7 linked regions of the Oryctolagus cuniculus genome follow. The protein of the gene in region 7 interacts with the protein of the main gene of each other region in a pairwise test. Links are inferred from orthologs where the notes say so. Each region holds a gene or a part of one and is shown on either strand. Other genes may lie near its edges.

Region 1 (3,500 bases), on a different chromosome or scaffold from region 7:
ACACAGTGCAGGGCCTGGTGAGCACCGATACCCTACGGCCAGCCCAGCGGGGGAGATCCCAGCGTGTGCTCCAGCCAAGAGAAGTGAGCCAGACACAGGCACAGACGGCCCGCACCTGCACCTCACGGCGATCATGAGAAAGTGGTGGCGGCAGAATTGACAAGTGACCCAGTGCACACATCCCTGTGGCAAGACTGAGAGAGAGAAACAGGAGAAAACCCACCCCGGCAGAGCCAGCACTCAGCAGACCCTGCCCGTCCTCCGCCCCGTCCTCGCGCCCCTGGAGACACGCCACAGGCTCCGACAGTCCCATGGCCATGCCCGAGTGACAGACGCCGCACGTGGAAAGTGGTGAGTTTATTGCATATGTAACAAAATGAACCTGACCTCCCGGGGCCAGCCTGTGTGCCAGTCGCTGTCTGCTTTGTGTTTCCAGCGGGCTCCATGACCACATTAAATAGAACTAGGATTTCTTTAAATACTTTTGATTTTGACATAAAACAGAACATTAGTGTACAACTTTCACAAAATAAATCAGCAATAAAAACAGTGGGAAGATTAACAAGGATAGCAGCAATACTTAAAAACAAGACATTACAAAATAAATTAAAAATACATTATAAAGTGGTTGAGAAACAAAAATAAGCAAATTTTAAAAATTCATCCTATGTTTCGGGAAGGCTGCCGTGGGCACACCCTGGTCTCCGCCTGTCCCCACAGCGTCCCCGGCCGCCGCCTGGCAGGGCGGTGGCTGGCTGCATCCCTGAGTGTCGGCTGACGACCGCTGGTGAGGCGGGCCCGGGACCGCGAGGGGACGACACACGAGATCACACGGACCCGTCCACGTGGAGCGACCGGGGGCTTGGACCAGATGCCCGCCACGGCGTTCTTTGGGGTGGTTTGAAGACCAAACCATGGTAGGAACTGAAGGCTCCGGCAGTGCAGTGCCCCGCAGTCTCTCTCGCCACGCGACCCTGGCTTCCTTCGCATACTACCGCAGGGCTGGGGCCTGGGGCCCCACGGGAAGGAGCCGCAGAAGCCGACAGGCAAGGCAGAACTTGGGAACGAGGCCCACGGGGTCGCCGGGACTTTGGAACGCATGGAATCTTCCTCCCCCTTCAGGCCCGCCTGGGCCACCTTCTACCCTGGAGCCTGCAACGCAGGCAGTGCAGAGCCCGTGCCCACCCCAGCTCCCTCCGCAAACCAGACTGCGCCTGTAGGCCCGGTAGCAGCCAGGGCGGCCACAGCGGACGCCCAGGGCCCAACTCAAAGTCGACAGCAGTGAAATGTCTTGAGAATGAACTACCCTGTACTCTTCCCCGCCCCCGCTCCCAGACAAGAGAACACACCCCCCCGGGGAACCCGTGTCCACAGAACTTGGGCCGCTTCGTGAAAACGAACACTGTTGAACTTCTATGCGCAGTGGAAATGGGCTGGAAACGTTGGGGTGGCCTGGCTGTGGCCTCGCTCCGCCCAGGAGACACCCGGGCGAGTGTGACCGTGTGCGCCCCCTGCCTGTGACACAGGGACCGGGCGGGTCTGCCTGCCTCTGTCTCCCCGCCACCCGCTGCTCTGCTCTGCGCTTTGGTCGCTTCCTCGCGTGGGACTCACTGAGAAACCTTCCCATGGGATAAAGAACGCGGCGAAGAAGGGGGAGTTGGTCTCGGGGTGGGAGACATCGTTCAGCCAGGCTCCCGGACAGGAAACAGCCCGGACCTCAGGCCCCCGGGGGGCACCAGCGGCCAGTTCCAGACCCTCAGCGGGGCCAGCGAGCCTGGCCGCCACGTGCAGGCCACCCCCGCAGAGCGTCCGTGCGACTGGGGCGAGAGGCTACGCCGGCCGCTTTATTTGATGGGTGATGGAGGGGAGAGGACTGTGACCAAGATGACGGGTGGGAGCCACCAACCCAAGTCCCTGCTCCCTCCCTCCCCGGGGAGGAGGAGGGAGACGACCCTGTCCCTTGGGTTTCCGCCATCCCAGGGCCTCCGCCCGCGCTGCGGGAGGCGCACAGACGCGTACGCTGGTCTGGTGGGCGTGAGCTGGAGTCGGTTGCCTGGGCTGCTCCTCACTCCACGGCAAACCCACAGGTCTCCTCCACCGCGGTCAGCAGCTTCTCGTAGAGCTTCTCGTAGGACTCGTACGGGGGGATGTCGATCCGGTTAAAGCTGGGGGACAGAGCGCCGGGGTCACGGGCAGGACAGGCTCAGGGGTGAGCCCAGTCCCGCCCCGCCCTCCCCCCCCCCCCCCCCAGTGCAACGGTTTCCCAGCAAAAGCAGTCTGAAGGCTGGCAGGCCCCGGGGCAGCCCCCGTGCTGCTTGGGGCACACTCGTCTTCTGTCTTTGGGGGGAGGCGCTTCTCTGTCCCGGGAATCCAGACCCCACTAACCACCTACTGCATGGTTGTCCAGTCCCCTGGGCCTTGATCTGAGACCAAAATTGTGTTCTCGGGGAGACACAAACTGCTCCCCAAAGGTGCTGCACCACCACATCCAGGCCCCGAGAGTCGGAGATGCCCGGTGGTTTCCTGTTTCCGGGGGACGTGCACTTCCCGGGCTGATGCAGAGAAAGCCCTCGGTAACACGGCTGCTCTCCTGTAACAGGTGCACGGCCCGGCGTTCAACGACGAAGCCTCGCGGTGCAGGGCTGGCGCTCCTGGAGCGTCCCCCATGGCCACTTACGCATTGAACCATCACCGCACGGAAGCCAGAGGAGAGGGGCTGGCGGGCCCGCAGGCACATCCCGGTCCTGAGCGCCACAGCCACTCTGGAGGCAGGGCCACGACGCCCTCACCCCCGGGCCTGCCTTCGTGTGTTACCCATTTCACAGATGCGGACAGTCGGGCTAGGAAGTCAGGTAACCCACCCGAATCCCACCTGGGGGCTCTCAGCTCCAGAGAGGACCCTCCAGGCCTGCGCCCTGGCCACGTGATGGTGGGCCCCTGCTCGGCTCGTCCTACAGAGGGGGCCGATGCGCGGTGTGCGCAGAGTGGGTTTTTGCAAATCCTTCGCCCCGGCTAGCAACATGTAAGCCTCAAGGGAGGAGGTCCAAGGCGGGAAACGGGGCGCAGAAACGCCCACTGTGGGAGGAGCCCCGCAGGCCTGTGCGCGCGGCAGCCAGGACGCCTCTCCTGACGTGTCCTGGGGGCACAAACACCTGAAACCCTGTGCTCACCACACACAGTCCTGCACATGCAAACAGCCGGGACCAGGCGCAGGCCCGGGGCTTCTTACCAGGTATGCGCTTTGGGGAGGTTGTCTGTGTTGGCGTCTATCAGGTGGATGGTGAACAGCCGGGGCCCTGCGGCGCCTGTGGAACCTTACGGTAGAACATTCTAGTTACTGCGCTTCAGAGGCAGGCTGTGCCCACGCCCTCGCCCACGGGCACCGTGTGCTTGGTGGCTCGGCTCCGCCTGTGTCGCGGGGACAGCAGTGCCTGGGCAGCCAGCTCACGGGTGGCAAGGGGAGCTGGGAAGGACTGGGTGGCCCAGCAGGGGGCACCACG
Region 2 (4,153 bases), on a different chromosome or scaffold from region 7:
TTGTCATATACTACACATGGATAAACACTGAAGACATGCTAAGTGAAATAAGCCAGAAATAAATGGACAAATATGTATCATAATTCCACTTAGATAAAGAACTGAGAACAGTGAAATTATGTCATAAAGACAGGAAGTAGAATGATGGGTGCTAGGGGAAATGAGGAGTTAATGTTTACTGAAAGTGGGGTTTCAGTTTGGGAAGATTAAAAACTCTGGAGCTGGATGGTACCAATGAACGCACCGAGTGTGAATGTATGTAATGCCACTGACCTATATAATTAAAAATGGTAAATTCTGTTATGTTTATCATAATTCTAGAAAACACATAGTAAGATACCTCCTCACATTTACCAGGATGGCTATTAAAAAACAACACCAACATGGAAAATAACAAGTACTGGTGAGGATGTAAAGAAACTGGACATCCTGCACATAGTCAGTGGGAATGTACAACAGCATAGCCACTGTCAAAAACGCTGGCACTTCTCCAAAAGCTAACTATAGAATTACTGTACGATCCAGCAATGCCACACCTAGCTTACAGGCAGCCTCTGTAGCTGCAAGCTCTGCATCCATGGGATCAATCATTGAAAACATTCAAGAAAAAATAATGTACAGACTTTTTCTTATCAATATTCCCTGAGCAATACAACTATTGGTATAGTGTTTATATTATATTAGGTATTAAATATAATCTAGAGATGATTTAAAGTATGTCGAAGCATGTATATGGATTATATATGCAAATACACTGCCACTTTATACAAGAGACTTAAGCATCCACGAATTTTAGCATCCTCAAGATACTAAAAGTAGAACCCCTTGGATGCAGAGGTATGACTGTAGACACTAAAAAACTGAAAACAAATATTCAAACGAATATTTGTACCAAATGTTCGTATCAGTAGCATTCTAATATCTAAAAGGTAGAAAAATTCCAAATGTCCACCAATGAATGAACAGATAAACAAAATGTAGCATATATCAGAAAAATATTAATCAAAAATGAAGTAACTGATAAATGCTACAGTGTGCATGCACTTCAGACATGCTATGCTAAGTGAAATAAGCCAGACACAGAAGATATTGCATGATTGCACTAATATGAAATATCTAGAATATGCAAATTCAGAGACAGAAACTAGAATAAGGGTAACTTAGATCTTGGGGAAGAACTCATTAATTAATGGTGAAAGGGTTTACTTGTAGTAATGAAAATTTTAAAACCAGATAATACATTGTGAATATAATTAATGCCATTGAACTGTACACTTAAAATGGCAAAATTTGTTGCATATATTTTACAACTTTTAAATAAATTAATAATGCAGCATACCAAAACCCCATCACATTACACACTTTAAATGGGTGAACGGTATGTGAAATATGCCAGGAAAACCGTTTTTTAAGAAAGTGAGTATTGTTTAAAAATAGCAAATTCTGTTATCTGTTTAAACTACAATAAAACAATCAAAGGGTAGGCACACCAGAGCAGAACAGCACATCCAAAGCTTAGACAGGAAACACGACATGGCTCACTGCCCACAGGAGCAGAGACAAGCAGAGTCAGGGGTGCAGCGTGGGGCTCCCAAGCTCACACTCAAAATGACCGAAATGGACGGAACAGGTAACACAGAGCTATTTTAGGTCGTTGCATGCTAAAAAGAATAGTAAAAGAAATGATGGGGACGTACAGACGAGGCAGTCAAGAGACAGACAAAGTGAATGTAATAAGAATACTAACACAGGAATCAGCGGTTCCCTCTGCGCACTTCCACCACTGCTCCCCTCAATATTTAGGCACAAGCTCGGGCACTGTAACAACAGCCACAATCATGCCCATGACTGTGACATTCTGGAGCCCATGAAACGCAAAGCCTCCAAGAGTAACTTGAACACACACTCCTGCGTCTTCAACACGCTGGGCTTCACTCACCGAGATCCCCGGATTCTTGCCCCGAAGCTCTGAGCTTGCATTCCCTCGGGTAGTGTTTCTGAATCATCTCCCACAGTTTCATATTGACAAGAGTCTTTCTTCGGGTATGGTAGCGAGCCCACGAGGAGACCCGGCGGCGACAGAAGGGACAGCATAAATTCGCCTTTTCGACAGTGGACTGGAAGCATGGATTACAGAGCGTGTGGTTGCAAGGGAGGGTCACCGGCTCGATCAGGATGTCCACGCAGATCCCGCACCGGCACTCCGACAGGGAAGGGATGTTGTCTTGGGGCACAGCCATTTTAGTATTGCTAACAAGGCCTAGTCAACATGAACACCTGCCAGAAAAAAAAAAAAAAAAAAAAAAAAAGGATCGTATTTTCGGTCAACCACCGGGCACCAATTTAAGTTTCGCGTTTACATACGAAGCTCAGCAGCGTGCCAAAAATTCAGAGACGGGGAGCATCCAACACGTCTGGGAGCAGGCAGGCGCTCCGAGGCGCGGGTAAAGAGCAATACCCGGGAAGACGAACATGCCCCAAGAGAACACACGAACATTTCCGTCTGACGCGGCAGTTGAACAGCGCGGCCGCGGCGGCGCGCGGCGTCGGGCGTGCGGGCGTGCGGGCGCCCGGCGCGGCGTGGAGTGGGCCCGCGTCCTCTGCTTCCGCTTTACCTCGGCGGGATGCGCCTCTTGGCTCCGGGGCCCCCAGTGCCGGGGCCGCTGCGGGATCCGGGAAGAGCACTGCTTCCGCCGGACGTCGAGCTCCGCGCAGGGCCCCCGTCTTCCCGGGGCCGTGAGGGCCGCCGCGAGCCCCCAGTTCGAGCCTTTGGGTGTCCCGCGCAGATTCCTAGGATTCCGCGCTCCGCCCCTCTCTTCGGGCTACTCGTGGCGGGGTCCCGTAGCAACCGTACACAGACCAGTGACGTCACAACTGCCGCCAAAATGGCACTTCCGATCCGCCGAACCGTCCAGAAACACAACAGCGAACATTCGGCGAGGCGGGACTTCCGAGGCCGCCGCGCGCGCGCGCGCTGGCGCCGCCCAATCCCGGCCTGCCCCGCCTTCCCAGGAGAAGGCCCCACCCATTCCCGCCGTCCCCGTTCCCGCGGTTCTGCTGCGGTAGATCCAGATCTTTCCTTGGCTTTCTGCCCCCAGAGGCTGCAGATATCCTTGAGTGCCTCAAGACTGGCGTGTGGACAGAAACGTGAAGCCTCAGAACGAATTAAAGACTCGAACATTAATTTTTATAATTCTGCCCGCAGTACAAGAGTACCTTTTTGTTTCTATTAATGAGTGATCTAAGGGTTGCTTGCCAAAGTTATTGTCAAGAAACAAAATTTCGGGGCTGGTCCCGTGGCATAGTAAGTTAAGCCTCCGCCCTGTGGCGCCGGCATCCCATATGGACGCAGTTCAAGTCCCGGATGCTCCGCTTCCATCCAGCTCTCTGCTATGGTCTGGGAAAGCAGTGGAGGATGGCCCAAGTCCTTGGGCCCCTGCACCCGCGTGGGAGACCAGGAAGAAGCTTCTGGCTCCTGGCTTCGCATCAGTGCAGCTCCTGCCGTTGCAGGCATTTGGGGAGTGAACCAGCGGACAGAAGACCTTTCTGTCACCCTCTCACTGTAACTACCTCTGAAATAAATAAAACTCTTTAAAAAAAAATAAAGATTTACTTACTTATTTGAAAGGCAGAGTTACCTAGAGAAAGGAGGCACTCCCCAAATGGCCCCAACAGCCAGGACTGGGCCAGGCAGACGCTGAGCCAGGAACCAGGAGCTTTATTCGGGTCTCCCCCATGGGTGCACTTCCGCTGCTTTCCCCAGCACATTAGCAGAGGGCTGGCAGAAGTGGAGCAGCCAGGAATGGAACTGGTCCCCATGTATGAGATGCTGGTTCACAGTGTGGCAGGTAGAGAGCATCACCCACCAGCCCCAGCACTTTTGTTTTAACTGGGTTCAGGAACTTGAGGTTATCACCCAGCTATCTACAGTCTCTTAGCCTGAAATTCCACTTCCTAATGTGTCCACAACCTGCTTTTCCCATGGACATTTCCATTACTCTGAAAGCATGCAACTATGACCTCCCCCATCACACAGGGATTCCCTTCTTTTAAATTCATCCAATCATGTACAGTTCCTAGTAATAATGGTTTTGATCGTAACTTACTTAGTGCCTGCATTTTGCTTTATCTTTAGGAGTTTCTGACTTGTGTG
Region 3 (3,500 bases), on a different chromosome or scaffold from region 7:
ATTCTTAATTGTCTCTTGAATTACAGACTTCAACGGGAGGAGGAAGAGGCCTTTGCCAGCAGTCAGAGCAGCCAAGGGGCCCAATCTCTCACATTTTCCAAGTTTGAAGAAAAGAAAACCAATGAGAAGACCCGAAAAGTTACCACAGTGAAGAAATTCTTCAGTGCTTCTTCCAGGGTTGGATCAAAGAAGGGTAATTTTCTGATACTCATTTTTTTTCCCTTTTGACTAGATCTGGGAAGCTTTTTAATTTTTGTAAGCTTTTAGAGAACAGCCTAGTTTAAGACTGAAATTGAGTTTGAAGGTCAGTGTAGGAAACCAGTACTTTCTTTGGTTGGAGGGCATTGTGTCTTAGAGAAGCTGTTGTTTGTTCTATAGGAGGAATAAAATGAAATAGCAGGATACAGTTGCTTATAACATGAATTCCTCTCCAGATGTCTGTCTCTCTATGCCTTTATATTATTTGGACCTGCTTTGTTCTTTTTATGCCTCTCACTGTCTAGCTGATCAGAAATGGCTGATTCTGGGGTGAAAATCTGGGAGAGAAATTTTGTGAGAGCTTACTTGAGAGGTTGTGTCTTGAGGAAATATACAGAGAACATATAAGAAAAAGTTCACTTAGGACTCTTAGCACAGATGAAAGTAAGCCATAGTATTTTCTAGTGCATGGATTTGTATGTAGATGATTTTATTTATCCTACAGTTTTTTTTGTGTGTGTGTGTGGTTTTTTTTTTTTTTTTTTTTTTTTTTGACAGGCAGAGTGGACAGTGAGAGAGAGAGACAGAGAGAAAGGTCTTCCTTTACTGTTGATTCACCCTCCAGTGGCCGCCGCGGCTGGCACACCACGCTGACCCGAAGGCAGGAGCCGGGTACTTATCCTGGTCTCCCATGGGGTGCAGGGCCCAAGCACTTGGGCCATCCTCCACTGCACTCCCTGGCCACAGCAGAGAGCTGGCCTGGAAGAGGGGCAACCGGGACAGAATCCGGCACCCCGACCGGGACTAGAACCCGGTGTGCCGGTGCCGCAAGGCAGAGGATTAGCCTATTGAGCCACGGCGCCGGCCTATCCTACAGTTTTAAAAAATGTATTTAAGAGACAGAGAGCAAGCTCCTATCTACTGGTTCATGCCTCAAATGTGCATAAAAGCCAGGGTGAGGCCAGGCTGAAGGTGGGAACCAGGAACTTAATCCAGGCCTCCCACTTGGTTGACAGTTATTTAGCCATCACCTGCTGCCCCTGCCCTCTGCCTCTCCCCAAACTCCCCCCCCCCCCCACACCATGGTCTACATCAGCAGGAAACTAGATTTGGGAACAGAAGGTGGGAAATGAGCCTGGACATGCTGACATGAGATAGAGGCATCTTAACTGCTAGGGTAAATGCCTGCCCTAGCCTACTTCTTAAAAATACTATGTAACCGGCAGGAGGATTATCATTGAAGTCACACTTATTCTGCCATTGAGCAAATGAACTAGTTGCAGTGACCTTGCATGAATAGTAAGAAAGAAGTTCTGTTATTAGGGCTCAGTTTCTTTCTTTTGATATTCAGTGAGGTAAATTTGAAACATTAGTGAGACTGGGACCCAATATTGATGCTGTCAGAAGAGCTTTTCTCTTGGAACTCTCTCTAGGTCCACAGTCCCCACCCCAGAGTAATTTTCTTTGCCTAAAGGCAACAAAATAAATAATAATGTCACCTCTTAATATCCTTGCTGATCTACCAGATATGGTGACTACTGTTTTCTGTATTACAAAGAAAGATTGCTTATGACTAAAACCACAATACTTCTGTTTAAGAAATGTACACTTTTAATAATCTTTATGTTCAAATTATTGATTTGGAGTTGTTTCTTTATTGGCAATTAGTTGTAGCAATTTTCTCTTTATTGCATAAGAAGGGAATAATCAGTACCTGCAGAGATTAAATAAGAATATATTTGGCTCATAATTTATTAGGAGGTTGTATAATAAGGTGGTTAAAAGCATAGGCTTTGGAGTCTGGGTTTGAGTGCCAGCTTTGCCATTCACTAGCTGTGTGACCTTGGGAAAGCTAATCTGAGCCCTGTGTACTTGGAGGAACGATAATACCTACTGCAATGAGGCTGTGAAGAGGATTAAATGAGTTGATGCAAGTACGTAAAGTGATTAGCACAGTGCCTGACAAACAAAGTAAGAGAAGTAAGTGTTAGCTCCAGTGTTAGATATTTTAAAGGCAGATTGCTTTTCTGATAGAATAATTTCTGCTGGTCAGAAGCTGAGGGGCATTCATCAAAGCCGTTTATTGCTGCTTCGCTTAAATTCTGTTTCCTGCTTTGTGAAAGGCTTGTTAACCTTACATAGAGAATTTGTGATAGTGAAATAGTATGTATTTATGACAACAGATGAAATAGTAAATAATTATAAAGCTATCTGTTCTAACAACCTTGTTTTACAAATGACTATATGCAGTCCATGAAGGTTAACTAGCTTACTGAAGGTTATGTAATGAGTTGGAGCGTTGGGACTCAGGTCTTCTAATCCTGGTTCAACCTTTTCTCCTTATATACCATTACCTCAAATATGTATAGCTGATTGATTAATATAAATATATGTTGGATAAGGCTTCTCTTATTTAAGTACATGATAGTCGTGCACATTCTCTCACTGTCCTTGCTGGCATAAAAAAAATCTCTGTACAATGTGGGTCATATCCTGGAAAGATTCATAATCCGATGCAGATCCTGAATTTGAAAAAAAAGATTATTTATTTGAAAGGCAGAATGGCAGAGGAAGACAGAGAGATCTTCCATCTGCTAGTTCACTCCCCAAATGGCCACAATAACCAAGATTGGGCCAGGCCAAAACTGAGAGCCTAGAGCTCTATCCCATTCTTGCACATGGGTGGCAGGGGCCCAAGTATGTAGACCATTTTTTGCCATTTTGCCAGGCACATTAGCAGAGAGCTGATCAGTAGTAGAACAGCCAGAATTCAAACCGGCACCCTAATATGGGATGTAGGGGTAGTAAGCAGTGTCTTAATTCACTGTTCCACAACATTGGCCCCAGAGCCTGTGTTTTAAAAATGAATGATCACAATTGATTTTTATTTTAAAAAACATGTATACAGAATAGTTTTTTACCTTTTTTCTTTTGGATAATAGTTATGTATTTCAGATTTTTTTCCATTTAGTTGTTTTGTTTTTGTAGAAAGTTTCTGATGGGAAAGTCCTTAAAGTTTGTTTGTTTTTAAAGATTTCTTTGCAAAGCAGAGTTACCAGGGCGGGAGGGGAGGGAGAGATAGAGAGAGAGATCTTCCATCCTTTGGTTCACTCCCTAAATGGCTGCAACAACTGGATCTGGGTTGATCTGAAGCCAGGAATCAAGATCTTCTTCTGAGTCTCCCATGTGGGTGCAGGGGCCCAAGGACTTGGGCCATCTTCTGCTGTTTTCTCAGGTGCATTAGTGGGGAGCTGGATGGGAAGGGGAGCAGCTGGGACTCAAACAAGCACCCATATGGGATG
Region 4 (3,500 bases), on a different chromosome or scaffold from region 7:
TGTGGCCTGGAGCTGTACTTCATCCAGGACATGGAGATCCTGGGCAAGGTGACGACGCACGAGCTGAAGGCCGGCGGGGAGAGCATCCGCGTCACCGAGGAGAACAAGGAGGAGTACATCATGTGAGCCCCATTTACATCTGTCTTGAGAGCGGCCGAGGGCCAGAGTGGTGCCGTCGGGGAGCTGGCCGTGGGCCTGTTGCTGCAGGCTGAGGGCTGTTGTGTTGCGTGCGGGCTTGAAGGGGCAGGGAGCGTGGAGGTGCCGGTCTTTGTCCAGCGCAGGATTTCTGTGTCTGTCCGCGGGCATCCCCGCTTGTGTGGGCTCCGCTGGGCCTCTCAGGCGGGTCTTCAGTGCCCGCAGTCCCCACGTCTCGGGCTCGGGCAGTGGTGGGGCAGCAGGAGCAGAGGAGGGTGGGGCGGGGGCTCCAAGGACGTGGCCGTCTGCAGTCTGTCTGTGAGCTGCTCAGGCTGCACTCTGGGGCCTTCCGCAGACAGGGCCAGGCTGCCAGGAGTGGACGCGGGGTGGATTTGCTGCCACCGTGTCCTGGCCACACCTGAGCAGGGCTCTTGGGTCTCTTGCTCTAGGCTGCTGACCGACTGGCGCTTCACCCGCGGCGTGGAAGAGCAGACCAAAGCCTTCCTGGATGGCTTCAACGAGGTAGCCCCTCTGGAATGGCTGCGCTACTTTGATGAGAAAGAGCTGGAGGTGAGTGTCGGAGGCCCAAGCCTGCTCCTTGACGTGTTCACCTTGCACCCTCGGTCCCCCCAGCACGGCGAAGCCCGCACTTCCGCACGACCGGAGGCAGCAGGCAGACGGTTCTGACCTGGGTCCTTAGCATCTACCCCGACACTTGTTTTGAGAAAGCAAGGGCTTGGATCATCTGAGTTACTAAAGCCCCTGGTGCAGCAGCCAGTGGCCGAGGCGGGCGTCGCTGGCACAGGCTGCTGACGCCTCTCCTCCCGCAGCTGATGCTGTGCGGCATGCAGGAGATAGACCTGAGCGACTGGCAGAAGAACACCGTGTACCGGCACTACGCCAAGAGCAGCAAGCAGGTCCAGTGGTTCTGGCAGGTGGGTGCTGCCCGTTCCCGCGGGCGGGGCAGGGGGCTTGCGGGGATGTTTAGGGGCCACCCAAAGGAAGAGGGGCTTCCCTGGGCCTGACTCAAGGATTCTTCCTCTTTGACCCTGTCCTCATCTTTCCCAACTTGTGAAAGGAGATGAGACGCCCAGCCGTGGGTGGGTCCCGGGCAGCCAGCATGTTGGCCGGTCGTGAGCTGCGCGCGGGCGGAAAAGCGCCTGCTGGTCCTGCGGTCCTGCGGCTTCCCTCAGCCGCGTGAGCTGGGGAGGCTGGCTCGCAGCTGCGGAGCAGCAGGGAGACTGGGCTGTATGGGTAGGGTTTGCTGTTGTCATTGTCAAATGTCGCATCCAGCGGAGTGTGCACGCGTGTACGTTTTTGTGGGGGTGAAATCGCGTGATTTGCAAGTCTCCTTTTTAAGTCTTTAAAGACACACAGCCCAGCAGCTTTAATATGTTCATGATGCTGTAGCTTCGCCACCACTGTCTTAATATTTCACCCCCACAGACTCTGTACCCATTAAGCAGTCTCTCCCATCCTTAGCACATCTTTTAAAAAAAGTTCTTCTGTTTTATGTTTTTAAAATATTTATTTAAGAGGTAGAGATGAGGCAGAGAGAGAGAGGTCTTCCATCTGCTGGTTCACTCCCCAAGTGCCACAATTAAAAAAAAAAATGGCTGAAGGTGGGCCTGGCCGCAGTCAGGAGCCGGGAGTGTCTTCTGGATCTCCCACATGGGAGGCAGGGGCCCAGGAACTTGGACCGTCTTCTGCTGCTTTCTGAGGCCATAGCAGAGAGCTGGATCAGAAGAGGAGCAGCTGGGACTCGAACCAGAGCCCATATGGGATGCTGGCGCCGTGGGTGGAGCTTAGCCACCACGCCACAGCGCCAGCCCCTTCAGCACATTTGTTAAAGGAAGAGAATACCTGGCCCAAGGTATCTCTAAGAGAAGGTGTCCCTTGTTCTGCCCATACAGCCACTTAGGGGAAGCACCTTTGTGGCGGCCTGGGTTGGTGGCTGGCATGCCCTGCCCAGTCTGGCCAAAGGGGCCTTGGCTGGCCCTGGGGTTTCTCAGGGAACGAAGTCCTGGGCCGAATGGGTCGCTGACTGCGTTTGGTGTGTGGGGCTGCAGGTGGTGAAGGAGATGGACAATGAGAAGAGGATCCGCCTGCTACAGTTTGTGACCGGAACCTGCCGCCTGCCTGTTGGGGGATTCGCCGAGCTCATCGGTAGGTTTTTCTTTGCCCGCTGTGTCCCAGCTGGTGTGAGGGGGGCCTGGAGTCTTCGTGCAGCAGTCAGTGGGCATGGGTTGGGAGGAGCAGGGGTCTCCTGTGGGCACCTGGGCTGTGGCCAGAGAGCCAGGTGCCTCAGCTGACAGCAGGTGCCTTTCTCCTCAAATGACCGCAGGCAGCAACGGACCCCAGAAGTTCTGCATCGACAAGGTTGGCAAGGAAACCTGGCTGCCCAGAAGCCACACCTGGTGAGCATGCTGGTTTGGCTGCGAGGAGCCGAGCTGCACAGGCCCCGTGAATTCTGGGGAGTGCCCAGTGGGCGCAGCAGCTGCAGGGCCCTGGGGTGCTGGCTTGGAGAGTGGTGTTGTGACGTGCCTGGGCCACTCGGCCTTCCAGGTGTGACATTTGGAGCCACGTCCAGCCTGGTAGGCCGGGAGCCGCTGCCACCACTGCCCCGCCCCTTACCGCTTCCCTGGCTGCCCCGCCCTCCCTAAGCCCCGCCCACCCTGGTCCAGGAAGCCAAAGCCTAAAGGTCCTGGGCGCTGGCGGCTTCTGCGGGAGCCACCCGGTGGGGTGAGCTGTTCCCTTCCCCTGCAGCCAGGCTGGGGCGCGCGTGGCTGGAGGGGCCAGGCCTCGGGTGCGACTGCTGCTCTCCCCTCTCCACAGCTTCAACCGGCTGGATCTGCCCCCGTACAAGAGCTACGAGCAGCTGAAGGAGAAGCTGTTGTATGCCGTCGAGGAGACCGAGGGCTTCGGACAGGAGTGACCGAGCCGGCCCCTCCCACGCCCCCAGCGCACACGTAGTTCCGAGTGCCCCTGCCTGAGAGGCCGCTGCCCGCGCAGCCCTAGGGAGCCCCCGGGGGGCCACCCTGCCTGCTTGCTGGTGGCCGGAGACCTTGAGCCCAGCAGGCCCTGTGGCAGCCTGGAATAAAGCCCCTTGGCACCTTTGGCCCCCGCACCCACTGCAAAGTGTGGAGGGCTGCCTCTCTCCAGAACACCCTCCCCTCCCCTCCCCTGGGACCAGCCCCGGGTGGGCGTGAATGTGCGAGGGTGAGCAGGAGGTCGGGCACTTGCGTTAGCGGCTGGGGCACCCGGGGAGGCCATGGCCCAGCCCTCACAGCTCCTTGCAGCTGGGTGCCTGCGGGAGGGCGCGGCGGACTCCTCCGGCTGGCTTCCTTTGTCCTTTTACATAAACT
Region 5 (4,277 bases), on a different chromosome or scaffold from region 7:
GAAAAGAGAGGGAGAGGGAAAAGGGAAAGGGGAATGGGGAAGGGTAGGAAGGGGGAAGGGAGAAAAGAAGGAAAGAGGGAGGGAAGGACTCCACCTTAAAATGCATCATATTAAGATTTATAACTAGACAGATTTAAAAGCATCAAAATCAAAGTAAAGCACAATTCTGTGTGTGTTTAAAGATTTAAGAGCCATTATCAAAAATAAGATACATTTTTTTCAAGGTACAGAAATGTAATTACGAGGGCTGCGAGCCCAGCAGCCTCTCAATGGCTGCATTGATGTCGCCTCCTGTTGCTATTAGAGCCTGCAAGTTTGCTTCACGATTTAAGAACCCCATTGCGTTGAGCTGTTCCAGTTGCTGCTGAAATCTGACTTCTGGATTCGGAAGCTGTGGAGGATTTGCTCCAGCCAGAGCCTGCACCATTTGCTGAATGAACTGCTGGTTCGGTCCAGCTTCTGATGTTGGACTCGTGGTTTCACTGGGTGCAGAGTTGGACACGTTGGGCCCAGTGGGGCCACCAGAGCCAGTGGACCCAGGGGTGCCTGCAGGACCAGTGGGTCCTATGGGCCCAATGGGGCCTATCGGGGTAAAAGGGACTATAGGGCCTATGGGGCCTATGGGAGTGACCGGGCCGACCGGGCCTATGGCGGTTCCCAGCACTCCCACTCCCACACCTGGAGTGAAGCTTGGGATGAGGCCAGGGGCTTCAGTGGCTAATGTCTGTAGTCCCTGCTGGATCTGCATTAAAGCCTGCATTGCTCTTGGGTTTGACATGGCTGATAGTGTGTCTGGATTCTGCATCTGCTGAAGGAAAGCTGGGAGCTGTGGACGCATCTGCTCCTGCAGCTGAGGATTTGCAGTGAATAGAGGGCTATTCAGCATCATCTGTGCAGCCAAATCTGGATTCTGGCTCAGTGACTGCATCATGCTTCTCATGTAGGGTGCAGACAGCATATTCTGAATCAGCTGGGGGTTTTCTGTTATCTGTTGCAGCAGACTCTGCATTCCTGGAGTACTGAAGATGCTGGCGACATAATTAGCTGCAGCCACGGTGTTCCCAGTAGCATTGCTGGAGCCACTGCCAGATCCACTGCCACTGCTTGTGGTCGTGCTGGTGGTCGCAGAACTCTGTGTGGCCGGTGGTGGTGCCCATGGATTAGGTAGTGGATCTCGATTTTCTGTGCGGGAAGGCTGAGTACCTTCTCCAGAGGAGGAACTGCTCCCCACCGAGGCAAACGGATTACCCCCAAACTGCTCTTGTGCGGCATTCAGCATCGGTTCTTGAATGTCAGTGTACATGCGCCGTAGTGCATTGTAGCCACCTGGGATGCTTTCGAGATTGCTGAGAGCCAGGTCTTGATTTCTCATCATCTCTTGCATCATGGCTGGATTCCTGGCGATTTCAAGGGTCTGCCTCATTATATCTGGGTTGTTGAGCAGATGACTGATTTCTGGATTTCTCTGAATCAATTGTTGCATCTGTGGATTGGCCATAATGAGCTGCCTCATCAGATCAGGATTCGAAAGCATACTCTGAACAAAGGGATTTTCCATGATTTGGATCATCATTTCAGGGCTGGCCATGAGCTGCTGCTGCATCTGGCTCTGGAGCTCAGAGAAGCTAGTAGAGCTCAAGCCTAGGCTGCTAAGGCCTGCAAGTCCTCCCAGGCTCCCCAACCCAAAAGGGTTGCTATTTGTGGAAATAGGTGTGGAGTTACTCCTGGGAGTCGACGCCGAGGTAGTAGTAGTTCCCGCGGCACTGCTAGCCTGTGTACTGGACTGGCCCTGAGGTCGATTCTGGCTTTTGATGACAAGGTGAACAGTCAGTCCATCATGGATGCCATGCTGCATCAAGGTATCTTGATCTTTTAAGATTTTTCCGGCAAAAATCAGCACTAGCTGATCGGTTTGAGATTTGAAGCGTTTCGAAATCGCTTCCTTAAACTGCTGGACCGAGCTATTTTCGGGCACTGCGAACTCCTCTTTCTCTTTGGGGGTCTTCACAGTGACTTTAATGATTTTGGGCTCGGCTGGTGTGGCGGCCGAGCCTTGGGCCGCACCAGGGCCGCGGGAGGGGCGCGGGGGGCCGCTGCTTTCGCCGTTCTCAGCCATGGCGGCCGCGGTGACGCAGGCGGGCAGGGAAGGCGCGGGCGGGCGAGACACAGCGAGGGAAAGAGGAAGGAAGGAGGCGCCGCCGCAGCGGGCTGAGTCGGGCCGGGCGGGGAGCGCGGAGCACGGTACCTCTGTGATGAGAACTGCGGTTCCCTGGTCCTCCGGTGGAGAGAGGGCTCAGCGTAGGCCTCAGGCTGAGGTCTCCGCGCTCAGGTCTCTGGGCCTCCTCCGCCGCCGCTTGTGATCCGACCGCGCGCACTCCCAGCAACTCCCGCAACCGCTCCGCCCGCTCCTCCCCGCCCCTTCCCCTCCCCCAGCTCCGCGCTCTCCTCCCCGCCCCACTCTGCTGACGCGGCGCCAGGCCCTGATTGATAGATCTGACTCGGTCAAAATTAAAAACTTCTGCCCTGAAAACAGAGGGAGAGAGGGAGAGTGGAAGAGAGGGAGAGAGAAAGGGAAAGGGGGAGAGAAACAAAAAGAGAAGAGCAAGGACTAGAATGAAAGAGAAAACAAGAAGCGAAGCAGGGAGGGAGGGAGGAAGAGAGGGAGGAGGCAGAAGAAACCAGCTTCTATAAACGACATTAAAAGACCAATGGAGAATATATGTTCGCAATCTGTAAGGCAGGAAAAGGATGAAAGCATGAATCAAACCGATCCCATATAAAAGACAAAAGATGAATAATAAAGAACTCTGACAAAGCAAAAAGGAGAGAGGACCACCCACAATGGGGGAAGGGGAGAAGACCCGGCAAGAGCTTGCATTTTAAAAACCTGTAAGTGGCCATTAGGCATAAGAAAGATGATTAAATCACTAGTAATCAAAGAAATTCAAATTAAAACAATGAAATTCTACTTTTGGCTTATTGTATTGGCAAAAGAAAAATAATGGTAAACCTCATTGACAGGGAGCTGAAAAAATGCACTCTCATGCTAGTTGAAGTGTGAATTGTTATAGAACAATTTGAAAATAAACATTAACATTTAAAATGCTTCTACCACCTTTATTTAGAAATCTCTCATCTACAGACATCTTAAAACAATTGGATAAGGATGCAAAAATATGTATTATATGGATAAGAACTGCACCATTTAAAAATATTATTTAAACATTTTAAAGTACTCTGTTTACAGGGGACCAGTCAAGCACATTATATTATATAATGAAGTAATATTTGCTATCTTTAAAACACAGGTGGTTAATTTCCTTAAAGTTGTATATGAAATAAACTATACTTACAGGGAAAATTTCAGAGTGTTTTTGCTTTTGGCTTTATATATTTCTGTATGTTAGAAACTGTACAACCATGTATATCTAAATATAAAAATACAATAAATTATTTTAGAACTAATATTTGACAATTAGTTGTATATCTAGACTGGTTGCATGCATGCATGAATGCATGTAAAAAAAGGAAAACTTTACAGGCTATACACCAATATGTTAATGATGGTAGTTATTACTGAGTGCTTCAATTGTCAATGATTCTTAATTTGCGTTTAAAAGATTTTGAATTTTCAGATGATTTTTATAAGTATGCACTTTATTTATAATTGTTTAAATCAGAAATATATTTTGGAGAAAGAGTATAGGTTGAAATTGATAAATACACAATAGTAATGGCAGATATTAACATATTTACTTCCTTTCATTAAAGATTAAACTAAGTAAAGATGTGGCAGTGCTGATGAAGAGAAATTGAATAATAGAAGAAATACAAATTTATGTATGTAATTCTAACCCTGGTTAGGACCACAGACAAAATAGTTCTGCCTTTAAGTATCTAGGGAACTTTTAACAGCAAGTCAAAATCACTGGGTCACCAACACCTTAATATATCATGATTAGAAAAATAAAGGTATGTGGTAGCCATCAATTAATAATAGAGTATGATTAATATGATACAAAATCAAAATAATAAATTTATTTTAATATATTAATATATGTATAAAAATAAAAAACCTAATTTATTAGCACATTCCAAACCATGGTCTATGGTGTTTATAGAAACACTCACATATATGGGAAATGTTCTATTAGAAATATACTACAATGATTTATTCCAAACTTCCACCCATATGGAAGAGGAAATGAAAAAGGATGCGGAAGAGTGATTAAAGGGAATTTTAATTAAATCTGTAAAAACTCATTTTATTTCAAAAA
Region 6 (3,500 bases), on a different chromosome or scaffold from region 7:
GATAGTATTTGTATGTTAAAATATAACTGCTTCACATAAAATCACTTTCTTTTTTTTTAAACAGGCAGAGTGGACAGTGAGAGAGACAGAGAGAAAGGTCTTCCTTTTACGTTGGTTCACCCCAAAATGGCCGCTGCAACCGGCGTGCTGCGACTGGTGCACTGCGCTGATCCAAAGCCAGGAGCCAGGAGTTAGGTGCTTCTCCTGGTCTCCCATGCGGGTGCAGGGCCCAAAGACTTGGGCCATCCTCCACTGTACTACCGGGTCACAGCAGAGAGCTGGACAGGAAGAGGAGTGACCGGGACAGAATCCGGTGCCCTGACCAGGACAAGAACCCGGTGTGCCGGTGCCACAGGTGGAGGATTAGCCTATTGAGCCGTAGCGCCAGCCAAAATCACCTTTTTGAACATCAATTTTTAAGTCTGACTATACTGGAAACAAATCTTTAATATTCAGAGGTTATTTCTTTTAAATTTTCTTAATATTCTAAGTAATAGATTTTTACATCAATTAGAATAAATTTGAGGATTTCTGCACCTCATAGCATATGAAAAGTACTTGAGAGTTTCACTGTAAAATAAAGGCCCCTTTGCTCAGCAACTGTAACTGGAATCAGCACAGAATAGTGGCTAGTGCTTAAAGTCTGGAATCACAGAACCCTAGATAGGAATCTCAGCTGTACTACTTACTGGCTGCATGATCCAGGACAAATTCTCTAAGCCCCTATCTCTGCATCTATGAAACAGCAACAAGACAACTTCCAAGGCTGGTTAACTGCATTCGACAGCATGTGTAAAATCCTTAAAGCAGTAACTGCTTACTAAACCCCAATAAAGATTAGTTGTGTCCAATAGTTACATATGCTTTGGGGAGAAAATTTTTTAAAACTCAAATTTGAAATAAATTTATTATGGGGCTGGCGCAGTGGCGGGTAAAGCTGCCTCCTGCAGTGCCAGCATTCCATATGGGCACCGGTTCAAGCCCTAGCTGCTCCACTTCAATCCAGCTCTCTGCTATGGCCTAGGCAGGCAGTATAAGATGGCCCAAGTCCTTGGGCCCCTGCACCGGCATGGGAGACCTGAAGGAAGCTCCTGGCTCCTGATCACCGCAGCTCGAGCTGTTACAGCCAATTGGGGAGTGAACCAGCAAATTGAAGACTCTCTCACTCTTTCTCTCTCTCTGCCGCTCCTTTTCTTTCTGTGTAGCTCTGACTTTCAAGTAAATAAATAAATCTTTTAAAAAAATAAGTTTACTTCATTTATCTAAAAATTATTTCAATTACAATAACTAAGATATATAATTGAGACATAATAGTTATTTTTAAATGATTTAAATATCTGCTCATTTAAAAATTTACCTTATTTTTTATCACAGCACGTACTTCTGTTGCAAAATCACGGGAACATACTTCTAGGTGAAATATCTTTCCACAGTTTGCCACACAAGCCCCAAGAAGCTATTAATTAAAATAAAAATTAATATACAAATGTTGAAATATCTTACTTAACTCACTGAAATAAATGCACATTTAAAATTTGAGTCAAATAGCAATGTGACTTTTACTCACAGTTAACGCCTGCAGAGCAACGTGAGGAACCTTATGATTTACTCTTTTCATTATGGCTTTCAGGCAATCTTTTGCTCTACAAAGAAATGGAGAAAGTTATCACTGAGAATTTCAATTTAAACATTAAAAATATAAGGTCTTTCATTACCAAACAGCCTTAAATTTAAAGGTAAAGTCCTTGAAACTGCACTTGTTTAAAGAAATAAATCTATAAAATTGCTTTACACAATCTTTTGTCCAGATATTCAATCATAAAAAAAAATTGCTGTAAATGTTGCACATTCCAAAATCAAAAGATCAGTGATTTCACAAAAGGCCAGCTAACACATGAGAATTACAGCATATAAACCAAGTTTTCATTTCTTCAACAGACTCAGCTTTCAGAGAGCAAATTTTTTTCTTGGGGAAAAAAATCAGAAAGATATGAGGGTACTTCAAAAAGCTCATGGAAAATAGAATGAAAATTAAATTCCTTTGGTGCATAAATTTTTAAATTGACACATACTAGTATATGGTTTTAAAAGGTTCAAGTATAAAACATGACCGTGCTATGGAACAGCTGAAATGATAAAGTGGTAGACACGATGCAGTGGGTTAACCTGCCATTTGGAATGCCTGCATCCTATACTGGAGTGTCAGTTACTCTGCGCTGCTGACCAGCTTGCTGCCAATATGTACCCTGGAAGGCAGTGGATTACGGCCCAAGTACTTAGGTTCTTGCTCCCATGTGAGAGACCCAGATGGGGTTCCTGGCTCCCAGCTTCAGCCTGGCCTACTAGTACCTGTTGTGAGCATTTGGAGACTGAACCAGTAGATTGAGCCATGTGCTGTCTTTCCTTCTCTGTCTTACAAATAAATAAATAAATCTTTAAACAAACTAACCAACCCAAATGCTTTTATCATTCTTCTAAAGTATAATCCATTCAGCTTAACTGTTGCATTCTCTTTTTTTCCACTGTTACCTATTATACTTACCTATCCATTATTGAAAAGCTTTCTCATCATATGTATTACCTATTGTATTATTATATTTATCTACTTCAATATCAAAAGCCTCTCACACATGTCTAAGTCAGAGGAAAATTCTCCAAATAATTAATCTAGTCAGTATTAACACATGTTCGTGTTGTATCAAGGCTTTAAGTATCTAATATAGCTCAGATTTTCAAATGAACCTTTCCATTTTTTATTTCAGAGTAAAAGTAATGTAAAAAAATCTGGCCTCCAGGCTTTCTTAACTTTTATCTCCAAAGTTCAATAGTAAAACCCCATTTTCCTTTCCAAGTAGCATCACTAAAATGACACAGATTTATCAAACTCCTAGACATTTACTGGCATGACTGCACATCTTACCCATTAGGAGTGCTTCCAACTTTGTCACATATGTCCATAATAAGACTCCAATCTTCTGTGGTGTTGTACTCATTCGTGGCTTTTTCTATAAGATACAAAGTCAGAAGCAAAAATTAGAGCAAAAATTACATAACGCAGTTACAAAGCCCTATCTTTTCCCTTCCCAGAGATAAAAGAACTATGGATGTACTTGAACACACAGAATATTCTGGCAATTTCAAATTATATAATTACATGTTCTTGGATTAGTCAACTTAAAAATGCTGGAGGGGAGGAGGGCATTGTGGCGCAGCAGGTTAAGCCACCGCCTGCCAACCAGCATCACAAATGAGCACTAATTTAATTCCTGGCTGCTCCACTTTGTCCAGCTTCCTGCTAAGGCAACTAGGAAATCAGGGGAAGATGGCCACAGTGCTTAGGCCCCTACAACCCATATGGGGGATATGAATGGAGTTCTGGGCTCCTGGCTTCTGTCTGATCCAGCCCTGGCCATTGTGGATGTTTGGAGAAGAAAACAACAGATGGAAGATATGTGTGTGTGTGTGTCTCCTGCTCTGTCTCCCTCTTCCTCTCTCTGCCT
Region 7 (3,500 bases):
AAGTATAAATTTATTAAAAACTTACTCCCGGATCTTTTTCTCTGATCCATCTCTTCCAGGGTCATAAACTCCTTTAGGCAGATGCTGTATAAGGCCTATTCTTTGAGCTATCCTAATTTGTTCCTCTTCAGTCAGCTGAGTTGCTAGCCGAGTCTGGCTGGGTGTTGGATGATAGACTGGAACAGGAACTTGTTCCTAAATTTTTAAAAATGGAGAAAATGATTATTTTTTAAGAAAATTTCTAGAGATCATGCTTTTCCTTTTTAATGGGGGTAGGAGGCTACATATGGCAAGCAGAAGGGGTCCTGGGAGAGATAGCAAGCTGGTCTACTGTGCAGATTGTGTCTTAATATTGACTTCTAGAACAAAAAATACATAAAAAATTCACATTTAGATATGTGACCTACTTTTAAAGGATCTAAAAACAAGCAACACTTAAAAACTTGCATGGAATGTTAATTTAACTAGTTCCACATGAAGAATTTACCCAGATATGCTCATTCTGAATACACCAACAGATAAATCAATATAAACAGATCTGTCAAGCAATTAATGAACCAGACTGTACTCAATAAGCTAATTTAATATTCTATAGGTTGCGATGGAATTATGCCAGTTTACCAATTTTTTTCAAATTTATTTATTTGAAAGGCAGAGTTGGAGAGAGAGAGAGAGAGAGAGAGAGAAGATACATATAGTGAGAGATCATTCATCCACTGGATCACTCCCCAAATGGCCCCAACAGCCAGGGCTGGGCATGGCCGAAGCCAGGGGCCCAAACACTTAGGCCATCTTCCACTGCTTTCCCAGTTGCCTCCGCAGGGAGCTGGATTGAAGGTGGAGCAGCTGGGAATCTAACTGGTACCCATATGGGATGCTGGCATTGCAGGCCGTGGCACTGACCTGCCGTGCCACAGCACCAGTCCCCCAAAATGACTTTTCTTCAAGAATATTTTCTCAGTGAATTCACCTGTGGCATATGCCTCAACACTATCAATTTTTTACTTTTCAATGCAATGCTGGCCCCCGATATCATGTTCTTAAACTACCTAGTCTAAAAATTTAACACAGCCTTTAAAAAACTTTTTTTGGGAGAGGGAGGGATTACTTGAAAGGTAGACTTACAGAGAGACAGGGAGAAACAGTCACAGAGATTCATTTGAGGATTTACTTCCCAAATGGCCACAATGACCAAAGCTGGGCCATGCAGATGCCAGGAGCCAGAAATACCTACTGGGTCTCCCACTGAGTGGCAGGTGTTGCAGACAGTGGCTTACCCTGCTATGCCACAATGTAAGCCCCAAATCAAATAGGCTTTTAAAGAAACAAAAAATTTTTGTTCAGGGGCCAGCACTGTGGTATAGTGGGTAAAGCCACTACCTGCAGTGCCAGCATCCCATATGGGTGTTGGTTCGAGTCCCAGCTGCCCCTCTTCCAATTCAGTTCTCTGCTATGGCCTGGGAAAGCAGTAGAAGATGACCCAAGTCCTTGGGCCCCTGAACCCATGTGGGAGACAGGGAAGAAGCTCCAGGCTTCTGGCTTTAGATCGGATCAGCTCTGGCTGTTGTGGCCATTTGGGGAGTAAACCAGCAGATGGAAGACCTCTGTGTCTCTCTGTTTCTGTAACTCCACCTTTCAAATAAATAAATTTTTTGTTATTCAAAAGAACTGTATTTGTAACCACAATATTTAAAATTGAGCTACTTTAGTGAAATGGAATTGGGATGCAGTGTGATGTAGGAGAGAATTTTAGGTAAAAATTTCTAAGCATGCATTTTTTTGTGGTTAGATTTCTTCAGTCTTATGATTCACTGTTTATAGGGAACACAGAAAGCAGAAAAGAAGAACAAAGTTGTACTACACAGGCAGGACATTTGGCATGGTAGTAAAGATGCCACTTGGGACACTGGCATCTCATACCAGAGTGCCTAGGTTCAAGTCCTGGCTCTATTCCCTGTTCCAGCTTTCTGCTAACATGAACCCTTGGGGACAGTGGATGATGGCTCAATACTTGGGTCCCTGCCACCCACAGAGAATACTTTGACAGAGTTCCTGGCTCCTGGCTTCAGCATTGCCCAGTCATAGCTGCTACTAGCATCTGGAAATTTTAGGATGGGAGATCTCTGTCTGTTTCTTTCTCTTCCTCTCCCCTTTCTCTCTGCCCCTTTCAAACAAATAGATTTTATTGAGAGTCACGAGAGAGAATTCCCATTAACTGGTTCACTCTCCAAAGGCTAGCAACAGACAGGGATGAGGCACGTCAAAGCCAGGAACCAGAAACTCCATATGTGATTCCTAAGTGGGTGGCAGGGACTTAACATTTGAGCTATCACCTGCTGCCCGACAGGGTGCACATTAGCAGGAAGCTAGATATGAAGTGGAGCCAGGAATCAAACCCAGAAACTCCAATATAGGATGCGAGTTTCCCAAGCAACGTCTTAAATTACTATGCCACCATAAAATTCACATTATGGATATATTTGTCATTTTGGTGGTTTTGTTTTGTGTTAAACCAGTACCTTCTAGTACCTTCTCAGTACCTAGTACCTTCTCAGTACCTTCTAGATAATTAAAATGATTCGACAATTTTTTTTTTTGACAGGCAGAGTAGACAGTGAGAGAGAGAGACAGAGAGGAAGGTCTTCCTTTTTCTGTTGGTTCACCCTCCAACAGCCGCTGCGGCCAGCCCACTACGCTGATCCGAAGCCAGGAGCCAGGTGCTTCCTCCTGGTCTCCCTTGCGGGTGCAGGGCCCAAGCACTTGGGCCATCCTCCACTGCACTCCTGGGCCACAGCAGAGAGCTGGCCTGGAAGAAGAGCGGCCGGGACAGAATCCAGCGCTCCAACCGGGACTAGAACCCGGGATCTGGCACCGCAGGTGGAGGATTAGCCTAGTGAGCTGTGGCACCGGCCGACAATTTAATTTTGATTCACATGCATCTTTTCAGAAAAACACAGAAGGAAATGACTAAGGCATCCTGGTATTTAAAGATGAATGTGGCCTCACCCTTCTTACCACATACCCCTAACTTCGTATTTTAATTTCTTTTTTTTTAATTTCTTTTTTTTATTTTTTGACAAACAGAGTGGACAGTGAGAGAGAGAGAGAGAGAGAGAGAAAGGTCTTCCTTTGCCGTTGGTTCACCGCGCTGATCCGATGGTAGGAGCCAGGAGCCAGGTGCTTTTTCCTGGTCTCCCATGGGGTGCAGGGCCCAAGCACTTGGGCCATCCTCCACTGCACTCCCTGGCCACAGCAGAGAGCTGGCCTGGAAGAGGGGCAACCGGGACAGAATCGGCGCCCCGACTGGGACTAGAACCTGGTGTGCTGGCGCCGCTAGGCGGAGGATTAGCCTAGTGAGCCGTGGCGCCAGCCTCGTATTTTAATTTCTATCATATCCGTTTAAAAAAGGTGTGATATGCTTGTTATCAATTATTTAGTACGAGAAAGACACTGAGTTGAACAGATTGGAGTATAAAAGCAGCAACTTTTAAAAATATTTG

The links.
Region 1: the proteins of RNF11 (region 7) and SMURF1 interact in binary tests that used the Homo sapiens proteins (3 or more experiments, as listed by UniProt). The link is inferred for Oryctolagus cuniculus from reciprocal best matches to the Homo sapiens genes RNF11 and SMURF1.
Region 2: the proteins of RNF11 (region 7) and RNF168 interact in binary tests that used the Homo sapiens proteins (3 or more experiments, as listed by UniProt). The link is inferred for Oryctolagus cuniculus from reciprocal best matches to the Homo sapiens genes RNF11 and RNF168.
Region 3: the proteins of RNF11 (region 7) and RABGEF1 interact in binary tests that used the Homo sapiens proteins (3 or more experiments, as listed by UniProt). The link is inferred for Oryctolagus cuniculus from reciprocal best matches to the Homo sapiens genes RNF11 and RABGEF1.
Region 4: the proteins of RNF11 (region 7) and WWP2 interact in binary tests that used the Homo sapiens proteins (3 or more experiments, as listed by UniProt). The link is inferred for Oryctolagus cuniculus from reciprocal best matches to the Homo sapiens genes RNF11 and WWP2.
Region 5: the proteins of RNF11 (region 7) and UBQLN2 interact in binary tests that used the Homo sapiens proteins (3 or more experiments, as listed by UniProt). The link is inferred for Oryctolagus cuniculus from reciprocal best matches to the Homo sapiens genes RNF11 and UBQLN2.
Region 6: the proteins of RNF11 (region 7) and STAM2 interact in binary tests that used the Homo sapiens proteins (3 or more experiments, as listed by UniProt). The link is inferred for Oryctolagus cuniculus from reciprocal best matches to the Homo sapiens genes RNF11 and STAM2.

Annotation. Positions count from the first base shown.
Region 1 is NC_091450.1:41,299,875-41,303,374, forward strand, and holds the end of SMURF1 (E3 ubiquitin-protein ligase SMURF1), read right to left. Parts: intron 3,315-3,500; coding exon 3,230-3,314; intron 2,166-3,229; coding exon 2,066-2,165; 3' UTR 343-2,065; downstream 1-342. UniProt on the Homo sapiens protein: E3 ubiquitin-protein ligase that acts as a negative regulator of BMP signaling pathway. Mediates ubiquitination and degradation of SMAD1 and SMAD5, 2 receptor-regulated SMADs specific for the BMP pathway.
Region 2 is NC_091435.1:83,028,007-83,032,159, forward strand, and holds the start of RNF168 (E3 ubiquitin-protein ligase RNF168), read right to left. Parts: upstream 2,801-4,153; 5' UTR 2,616-2,800; intron 2,488-2,615; exon of another isoform or gene 2,365-2,487; intron 2,278-2,364; 5' UTR 2,241-2,277; coding exon 1,940-2,240; intron 1-1,939. UniProt on the Homo sapiens protein: E3 ubiquitin-protein ligase required for accumulation of repair proteins to sites of DNA damage. Acts with UBE2N/UBC13 to amplify the RNF8-dependent histone ubiquitination.
Region 3 is NC_091450.1:66,536,570-66,540,069, forward strand, and holds part of RABGEF1 (rab5 GDP/GTP exchange factor), read left to right. Parts: intron 1-26; coding exon 27-193; intron 194-3,500. UniProt on the Homo sapiens protein: Rab effector protein acting as linker between gamma-adaptin, RAB4A or RAB5A. Involved in endocytic membrane fusion and membrane trafficking of recycling endosomes. Stimulates nucleotide exchange on RAB5A. Can act as a ubiquitin ligase.
Region 4 is NC_091449.1:53,031,632-53,035,131, forward strand, and holds part of WWP2 (NEDD4-like E3 ubiquitin-protein ligase WWP2), read left to right. Parts: coding exon 1-122; intron 123-584; coding exon 585-705; intron 706-965; coding exon 966-1,070; intron 1,071-2,204; coding exon 2,205-2,301; intron 2,302-2,479; coding exon 2,480-2,552; intron 2,553-2,970; coding exon 2,971-3,070; 3' UTR 3,071-3,500. UniProt on the Homo sapiens protein: E3 ubiquitin-protein ligase which accepts ubiquitin from an E2 ubiquitin-conjugating enzyme in the form of a thioester and then directly transfers the ubiquitin to targeted substrates.
Region 5 is NC_091453.1:39,986,967-39,991,243, reverse strand, and holds the start of UBQLN2 (ubiquilin-2), read right to left. Parts: upstream 2,801-4,277; 5' UTR 2,117-2,800; coding exon 239-2,116; 3' UTR 1-238. UniProt on the Homo sapiens protein: Plays an important role in the regulation of different protein degradation mechanisms and pathways including ubiquitin-proteasome system (UPS), autophagy and the endoplasmic reticulum-associated protein degradation (ERAD) pathway.
Region 6 is NC_091434.1:89,730,179-89,733,678, reverse strand, and holds part of STAM2 (signal transducing adapter molecule 2), read right to left. Parts: intron 3,006-3,500; coding exon 2,921-3,005; intron 1,644-2,920; coding exon 1,568-1,643; intron 1,457-1,567; coding exon 1,358-1,456; intron 1-1,357.
Region 7 is NC_091438.1:121,670,606-121,674,105, forward strand, and holds part of RNF11 (RING finger protein 11), read right to left. Parts: intron 196-3,500; coding exon 26-195; intron 1-25. UniProt on the Homo sapiens protein: Essential component of a ubiquitin-editing protein complex, comprising also TNFAIP3, ITCH and TAX1BP1, that ensures the transient nature of inflammatory signaling pathways. Promotes the association of TNFAIP3 to RIPK1 after TNF stimulation.